Mus musculus: one gene and its partner. The main gene of each other region encodes a partner of the protein of the gene in region 2 in a complex. Links are inferred from orthologs where the notes say so. Each region holds a gene or a part of one and is shown on either strand. Other genes may lie near its edges.

Region 1 (4,045 bases), on a different chromosome or scaffold from region 2:
ACTAGGAAGTGTCCCATCCCACCTCCAGGAAACAACCTGAGTGGGGTCTGAGTCACCCCAGCTGGGATGGCACCTTGAGGGGAACACCCTAATCCGGGGACACCCTTCCTGCCACTTTGCCATGCTATATTTAGGTTGGGGGGATGGGTGCTGGGTGACCCCCCCCCAAGGCAAGTGTCAGCTTTCCTCCTAAATATAGCTCAGGGTTAGGGGAACTAGAGTCCCAGAGTGGGGGCATGGCAGAGTCAAGGGCCCTGCCACCCAAGGAGCCTGTCTGCTGCAGAGACACCCTGCTTGAGGTCTCTCCAGCATCCTGCCTTTCTTTCTGAGGGGGTGATTTCCTCCCTCTAGGGCCCTGTTTCTCTGGGTGGGTTTTTAAAAATTATTTTATTTTATTTCATTTTATTTTATTTTTTATTTAATATATACCAGTACACTGTAGCTGTCTGCAGACACTCCAGAAGAGGGCATCAGATCCTATTACAGATGGCTGTGAGCCACCATGTGGTTGCTGGGAATTGAACTCAGAACCTCTGGAAGAGCAGTCAGTTCAGTGCTCTTAACCGCTGAGCCATCTCTCCAGCCCTCTGGGTGGGTTTTTGTCCCCGTGTCTTATGGTCACAGTTTGCTGTTTCGCTGGGCAGGTCACAGTTCTGAAAGCCCATCATGGTCTCCTCACTCTAATTACCTTGAAGTGTTCTTATCCACTCCAACCAAGTCTTCCTGGTCCCCGGCCAAGAAATTCCAGGATAGAAGACTATGTGGGGGAGCCCGGACAGTCACTGTCTCCAGGCATTGAGCCTTATCACTGCACAAGCCCAGCTGGCTAATGTCTGGCTGGGAGACCCAGGAAGGGAGACAGGAGCGGAGGGTGGGAACCTGCTCTAGACACCATAGCAATTCCCCGGTCTGAAGGGAAGGGCTGAGGTTCTGAATACTGGGTCTAAGGGAGGAGGACTGGGGTCTGGACCCGAGTCTAAAGGAGGAGGGCTGGCGCCTGGACCCCTGGGTCTGAGAGAGGAGGGGCGGAGTGTGGACCCCAGTGTCTGATGGAGGAGGGTTACAGCCTAGACTTCTGGAGCTGAAGTGGTCGAGGCCGAGCTTCCAAGGTGCCGGCCCGCGCGTGCTAGGCGGGATCCGCCGCCCCTCCTCCGCCGTCGGGCGCCGCCCCGCCTCCTCCCAGACCCAGGCCCTCCCAAGCGCAAACGGCGAGCAGCCGGCGAGCAGCGGGCGTCCGAGCTGCCAGCGAGCCGGAGGAGGAGCCGCAGCGGCGCCAGGGGCAGCCGGGGAGCAGAGAAGGGCGCCCCAGGTAAGAGCTCCTCGCCTCCTCTGGCAGACTACACGGTCCGGGTCGCCCGGCCCCCGGGTAGGGAGGGACGGGGGCGGGGCCGACAGGGGCGGGGTTTGGCGGAGGAAACTGAGGCAGGACGGAAGTCTCCCAGAGGTGGAGCGGGTCCCCTCCACCTAACTCAGGAATAGGGATCCCCAGCCCCATTTTCCTGGATGTGTGAAGCAGGGAATCTCCATTTATGAACACCTTGGAGGAGGGGCCGCAACCCTAGAACCTGTGGGTCTGAGGGAGGAGGCGTCTGGAGTCCAAGAAACTTAGTTTGCAGGAGGAGGCATCTGGGGAACCAGGTCACCTGAGGGAGGATGGTTCAGGGGCCTTGGGCCCCTGGGTCTGAGGAAGGAGGCAGCTGTGGACCTGAACAAAGTCTGAGGGAGGAGGCAGCGGGCACCCGCACTCCCTGTAATGGTGTGGTAAACTTCTGCCCCTGATCACACTCAACACTTCCCATTCCCCCACCTCGGAGCCTGGCCAGCCAGACACTCCAGGTATGCGCAGTCGGAGTCTTGGGCGGGCCCTGGCCTGTCCTGCGAGGAGCGAACATTCCAGGAAGCAGCCTCAGGGACCCAGAGCGTGGGCCGGCGGGGACCCGGGTGTCCAGGCCAGCCCCACCTCCGCCGCGTTTAGTGGAGGACTGGAGGACGGGAGGAGGGGATGTAATCTCTTCCAGTTGCCTCACCTGCCCCTCCTCTCTGCTCCCCCCCCCCCATCTGCTTCTCATCCCTCCAAAGCTGTCACCTGCACAGGGAAGGGGGGCCCTCTGGAGGTGGGCGGGGCATCTACTCCAGGGTACCCTAGGCTTTCAAAGACTCTGGAAAGGGTGGCTTTTTTTTTTTTTTTTTTTTTTGAGAGGTCGCGCCCTTCCCCCATCTGCCTATGTAACTGGTTTCCTTCCTCCCGCAGGTGGTTGCCCCCTCCCTCTCCTGAGATGTCAGGGAGGAGACTACCTGTATCCTACAAAGGGGCCCCACACAGCCTGGGGGCCCCCAGTCCCAGAGTGAGGAGGTGGAGGTGCTGCTGTTGACAGGTCTGGTATTCATTCACCTGCTGCTTTCCAGTCCTGGCCCGGCTTCTAGAATGTTCTAGTCTCTCCATATCCCTCCCAGCATCTCCCAGCAGCCAAGTCAGTCTCACACTCAGGGAAAAACGAGAACGACAGGATCCGAGGGGCTCCTCCAGGTTATAGGAACACGAGGGCCAAGTGGCACTGCACGGATTTCAGATCTTACCCATGCCACTTCTTGGCTGTGTGACCCGGTAGAAAGCATTTCTCCTTGGGTTTGACCGTCCAGCCCTGGCTGGCGTGGAACTCGTGCAAACCGGACAGGCCTCCAACTTGTGGCCATCTTCCTGCCTCTGCCTCCTGGTTGCCGAGGTTACAGGTGTGCATCACCACACCCAGTTTTGCCTTTTTGTTTAGACTAACTGGATACTTATTATTAACCTAAAAGTTAAACAATCCCCAGGTTCTAGAGCATAAGGTATTCCTAAGGTCCTCCCATAGTCTGCCACGCAACATCTGCCCTCGGGTGGGGCAGGAGGAGGGGTCCCTGACTTCCGTTACTCAGGTGTCTTTCTTCTCTAACCACAGCCCTCTTTCTCTTCAGGTGTGCAAGCCATGCTCCCTCGCCACTCCTGTTCTCTCCTCCTTTTCCTCTTCCTCCTCCCCAGCGTCCCCATGGAGCCCCACCCCCCATCCTCCACCCTGCCCCCATTTCTGGCCCCTGAGTGGGACCTCTTGTCTCCCCGAGTGGCCCTGTCAAGGGGCGCCCCTGCCGGGCCCCCTCTCCTCTTCCTGCTGGAGGCCGGGGCCTATGGAGAGCCGGCAGGGGCCCCAGCCAACCGCAGCCGGCGCGGGGTGAGTGAGACCGCACCCGCAAGCCGCCGGGGTGAGCTGGCAGTATGCGACGCAGTGAGTGGCTGGGTGACCGACCGGCGGACAGCTGTGGACTTGCGTGGGCGCGAGGTGGAGGTGCTGGGCGAGGTGCCTGCGGCAGGTGGCAGTCCCCTGCGTCAGTACTTCTTCGAGACGCGCTGCAAGGCCGAAAGCGCTGGGGAAGGTGGCCCAGGTGTGGGCGGAGGGGGTTGTCGCGGCGTGGATCGGAGGCACTGGCTCTCAGAATGCAAGGCTAAGCAGTCCTATGTGCGGGCGTTGACTGCAGACTCCCAGGGCCGCGTAGGCTGGCGCTGGATTCGGATCGACACAGCTTGCGTCTGCACGCTCCTCAGCCGAACAGGCCGAGCCTGAGGTCCAGGCTTGGGAACTGCCCAAGTTGAGGGAAAACAAAAAACAAAAAACCAAAGCTGGATGCTGAAAGGACCACAGGGGTGGCCTGGCTGCTCTACCGTGCCTTATGACTGGGAACTGGAATAACCAAAGAATCAAATCTCTCTCAAATCTCAGTCTGTGTGGAATGTATGGTGAAACCAAATGAGGTTTCAAGTGATGAATAGGAGTTCTCCCGGAGGAACTTGACATTAATAACAATAGCCAATGTTTACTATCTCCTGTTTATCAGACCTGATATATGACTTTGGCAACCATTTTAACATCAGAGGACCCTGGCTCATCAAAACGGACGAGGAAAGAACGCATGAAAAGGGGATGCATGATGCATGCGCTGGAGCTAGGCCTCCATCAGTAGGCTGTTTCTGGTTGCCTGGCACGCACACAGTCCTGGGCTCCATCCTGAACAT
Region 2 (4,312 bases):
CCGAAGTGAGAACCAAGCGCTGCGTCTCATTTCTCTCTTCATTCGGTGTCTATCGTTGGATTTTTAAAAAGGCTGTGTCAATGCACCTTCCAGGTCTCCAGCCACCGAAAGGCTCTGAGTTGCTTCCACAAGGCCCCTCCATCTGACTGACATTACCTTCGGAAAGGCATGAGTTCTGAGAAAGGCCACAGACTCTTTGGATAAGCCCAGCCCAGGACAGGCACATACCTACCCTAACCTCCCACTGTGCTGCTGCGCTACTTGTCAAAGACTGGGAACCTAGCACCCTGGTCTCCACTGTTCACAGCCGGATTGGCTCAGCTATGCCAGGCCTGCACGCTCCACCTTGCTCTGCCATTCTTTCCTCACACCGGAGGCCTGTAGTGTAACCATCAGTAGCAGAACGGCAAGATTAGAAGGGGCTCCTACTTACATTTAAAAACCAAAACAGGTTATCTTGACTCCTTTGGCACTGGCAGCTGCATTGGCAGAAAACACCCTTGTACATTGGGGGAGGGGGTGCATGCGCACTCGCCAACCGGAAGGCCACAGCCCAAGCCCTACTTACAAGGCTGCCTTTCTCAGTCTCAATCACCCAGGAAACTTAGCTTTATAATCCTCTACACAGATGAACAAAACCTTCTGTTCGTGAGACATAAAATGGCAAGATTGCAGAGAAGGGACAACAGCAGTGTGCCCAACACAGGTGACCTAGAGAAAGGACGGTTGAGTTCCTGCTTGGCAGGGTATTCGTCACAAGACACCCAACAGAGAGAAAAGAAACACATTTCTGTTTCTCCACTAAGCTGGGACAAGCTGTAACCTTTCTAGGGACAAGGCTGAAGCTACCATCCGTCAGTGTGCACATAGCTTGCTGTTTAGCCTAGTCCTGGGGAATTTTTCAATGGGCAATTAAGATTTATAATCCAAATGGTCTCAAAATCGTATCTCTGAGAAATCAGGTCCAAATTAAATCAGCCCAGGCTTTTAGCCCTTCCTGTGATCGCATTTTCTCTCTTGAGCGAGTGCTTTTCGACACTCAGAACTTCTCCTCTTACAGGGCATCCTCAAAGCATCTCTGGCTGCAATCTCTGAAGCAAAATCCAATAGATGAGATGGAAAAGGGGGAACAGGACCAGTCAACTCCAAGCCTCGGGAAAAGATGTTAAGGGAGAGACCCTCACTTCCTCCAACCAATTCTTGAAAATGAATAATTTTAACCTCCTTTCTGGTTAATATCACTGGAACTTCTCTCAACACACACACACACAGTATATTTTACCAAACAAAAATGTTCCAATATAATTATCGTATACTGAAAGCCTAAAACACACCCATCAGAACTTTGAAATGAAAATGCACGCAGAATTCCTTCCCAGGAACATAATATATACGAATTTATGATTATATTTCTGTCTATATGGAATTTTAGAGTCCCACTCTTCACCAACTGACATCCGTAAGCCAGTGAAACAGACAGAGAAGTGACAGGTACCCCATCTCTCTGGTCTCTGACTTCTTGCCATGTGTGGGACAGCATCTGTCCCAAACATACACCTGCCTGATTCCTGAGGTGGGGACAGGAGAAAAAGTAAAAGGAACTCACATTTCCGTGATGTTCTCCGGGTCAACGCTGTTAGGTTCCAACCTCGGGAATGCCACGATGCCTGGAGAAGGCTCAGTACACCAAATCCTAGCGGAACTGCATTTGCAGGACGTCGGGCAGGCGAGAGAGGCCCTCCAGAAGCCCAAGACCAGCAGGCATAAGCCCCAGAGCCGCGCCATGGCGGGTCCATGCCACTTCAGCCAGGGCGACATCCCGAGCTGCCAGTGCCAGTCAGTCGGAGTGCGTGTCCCTACGCTGAGCCAGGCGTCCCCCGCCGGAGGGGGGAGGCCTTCCCTGCGCCCTCTTGCTGCTTGGTGCTGGTGGCCTCCCGCGGAGTGGAGCGTACCAGAGGCTGAGCCTGTCGGTGCTGGGGCTGAGCAGGTTGGCGCTGACCAAATGGTTCACAGTGGCTGGGACATCGCGGGCCGCTGCTCCGAGCCACAAGGCGGCTGCATAGTCCTATACGCCAGGCACCACTCGGTGGATCTCCCTGGACTCTTTGGGTCGCAGAACCGCTAAACCGGCACGAATATCGATATCGGTGCGCACCTCAGGGCTGAGGACAAACAGACATGGATGAGACTAATAGACCCCACACACCACCAACTGGGACACAGTCCCTCCGCGCTCTCCTCACCCTGAACCCCAAGCCTGGAGAATGAATGTCTGAGTGCCCAGCTCCCGCCCCGCCATCAACTTGCCCCTTAGTGCCCCCCCCCCGTGTGCCCGCCCTCCCTTCAAGCCTGAGGCCGAGGCATGAGAAGTCGGTAACGGGTCTTTGAGAGCAGATTCCATGGCATAGGCCAAGCCAAGGACCCTCCAAAGAGGCTGCGGCAGCGCTGGGGCCCCAATGATGCTGCAGAATCCTCCCCGGCCGCTGGGCGCGGGGGGAGAGGGGAGGTGGGCAGGTGGCGCGGCACATCCCACCTGGGGAGCAACTGCGGTAGCAGGACAGTGCCGGCCCAGGCCACCGAGGACTGTCCGCGCGGCTTCCCCGGCCTCCCGTAGCAAGCGCAGGGAGCAGAGCGCTGCAGAAGCAGCAACAGCAGCTGAAGCAGCGACTGGGCTCTAACCGGCGGCCGCCGCCGCCGCCGCCTCTGCTACTGCTGGCGAAGTGACGTGAGGGCTGACGCAGAGCAGGGGCAGAAACTCCAGAAAATTAGTATGAAATCCAAAAACACACACGCTCACACACGCGCGCGCGCACACACACGCACACACGCATAGCATAGCACCCTCCAGACAAAAGCAAGGCGGAGGGGAGGGAATCTGGGGGCGAGCGGGGAGGAGGAGGCTTGGTGCCAGCGGCCAGGCGCAGACAGCAGCATGTGGGAGTTCACACTCGCGCGCACGCACACACCTTGGCGGGGTAGCTGTGCGGGTGTGCATGTGTGCGCGTGTGCGTGTGTGTGCCCCCTTTAGACCCCGGTACATCTAAAATGCAGCGATGCTTCCTTGGTCCCTAATTCTTACATCTCTTCCACATCGCAGTACAGACTAGCTCCCCCTTTTTTAAATGGAAGCCCTGTTTGGTTAGGCTCTGAAAAAAATGCTCTGATTCGTATTGTAGGAATCCTCCCTTTTCCTTTTCCTTTCCCTCTCCCTCCCCGCCGCGTTCTTCTTTCTCACCATGCTCATAGGGGAAAGCAAGCTATTTCCAAAATATAGGGAAGACAAGCTACACCCCGTACAAAAATAAATATATAGCGCTGTACGTTAGTAACCAAGGACCATTGCCGGGTTCCGGACTACCTATTTAGGGGTGGATGGTTCCAAAGCTCTCCTGATGGGGTTTCTGCCAAGAGAGAAGTGTAGACAGCCTGCAGACACAAGTGTAGCTCTGATGGATCTTTCTCCTGCCGTTTGCGCCACAGAGAGAGCCCTGCGTGGGAAGGGAGCGCGCCGGCCGCGCTGTGGGTTCCCTAAATGCTTTGCACCGACCCTGGCCTGTGGAATGGATGGCTCCGCATCATCTTCTCTTATTCCTTAACCTGGCAGGATGCAGCCATTTGAGGATCACAGCTTCACTCCCCGCGACACCCACCCGCACGCGGAGCACCCAAGCCCCTGTCCCCTGCCCTGCCGTACCTTGCGCGTGTTCGTGTGCGCGCGTGCATGTGCGCCAACGTGTACCCTGCACCCGCGCTGCCCGAGGCAGGATGTGCTTCCAGCTACCGAGAGGCCGGGCTCCGGCAGCGCCCTAGAGTCTCAGTGGGGACACGTGAGATGATTCCGGAGGGTCGAGTGACAAACGTGCGGGTGCAGTTAAATGGTCGCTGCGGGCCATTCGCGAGCCTGATCTGAGCCTCCTCTCACCATTTGTAGCTGCGACCGCCCGCACATCCGCAGTCATTTAAAAGGGAATCTGGTAGATGCGCCGCAGTGCCTGACACTTTCGAGGGCTCTGGTGCCCCCGCGTGGGGAGAAGAAACCCAGCACGCTCCGGTACCTCGGGCCATTGCTACCACCGCATTAGGAACTGCGCTACCGGCGCACTGCAGCTCCAGATGCGCAACCGCCGCGCTGTGTGCACATTGCTACCCAGGCAGTGCGCCTCTCACCAGATCCCTACAATCTCCTGCCTCTGAAGTCCTCCACGCACCACAAGACAATGCGCTGGAGTCCAATTTAAGACATAAGAATAGTCATCCAACTGCCCGCAAAAGGCCAGAAATGAGAAGGATGATGTCAGGGGAAATGTTTGGG

What was found.
Region 1: the proteins of Ntrk2 (region 2) and Ntf5 are in contact, whole or in part, in a crystal structure (PDB 1HCF), measured with the Homo sapiens proteins. The link is inferred for Mus musculus from reciprocal best matches to the Homo sapiens genes NTRK2 and NTF4. Residues at the interface, in NP_001018074.1 of Homo sapiens: Phe291, Glu293, Thr296, Ser297, Asp298, His299, Cys302, Pro304, Thr306, His335, Val336, His343, Gly344, Cys345, Asn350, Thr352, His353, Met379, Gly380, Trp381, Pro382, Gly383; in NP_001382418.1 of Homo sapiens: Gly81, Val82, Ser83, Glu84, Thr85, Ala86, Ser89, Arg90, Arg91, Gly92, Glu93, Leu94, Ala95, Asp98, Ala99, Ser101, Gly102, Trp103, Thr105, Tyr135, Phe137.

The regions. Positions count from the first base shown.
Region 1 is NC_000073.6:45,412,480-45,416,524, forward strand, and holds the start of Ntf5 (neurotrophin-4 preproprotein), read left to right. Parts: upstream 1-1,215; 5' UTR 1,216-1,309; intron 1,310-1,383; exon of another isoform or gene 1,384-1,836; intron 1,837-1,846; exon of another isoform or gene 1,847-2,004; intron 2,005-2,024; exon of another isoform or gene 2,025-2,114; intron 2,115-2,251; 5' UTR 2,252-2,375; intron 2,376-2,955; 5' UTR 2,956-2,966; coding exon 2,967-3,596; 3' UTR 3,597-4,045. UniProt on the Homo sapiens protein: Target-derived survival factor for peripheral sensory sympathetic neurons. May promote ameloblast differentiation and subsequent reduction in proliferation of ameloblasts.
Region 2 is NC_000079.6:58,806,235-58,810,546, reverse strand, and holds the start of Ntrk2 (BDNF/NT-3 growth factors receptor isoform a precursor), read right to left. Parts: upstream 2,851-4,312; 5' UTR 2,534-2,850; intron 2,163-2,533; 5' UTR 1,819-2,162; coding exon 1,607-1,818; intron 1-1,606. UniProt on the Homo sapiens protein: Receptor tyrosine kinase involved in the development and the maturation of the central and the peripheral nervous systems through regulation of neuron survival, proliferation, migration, differentiation, and synapse formation and plasticity.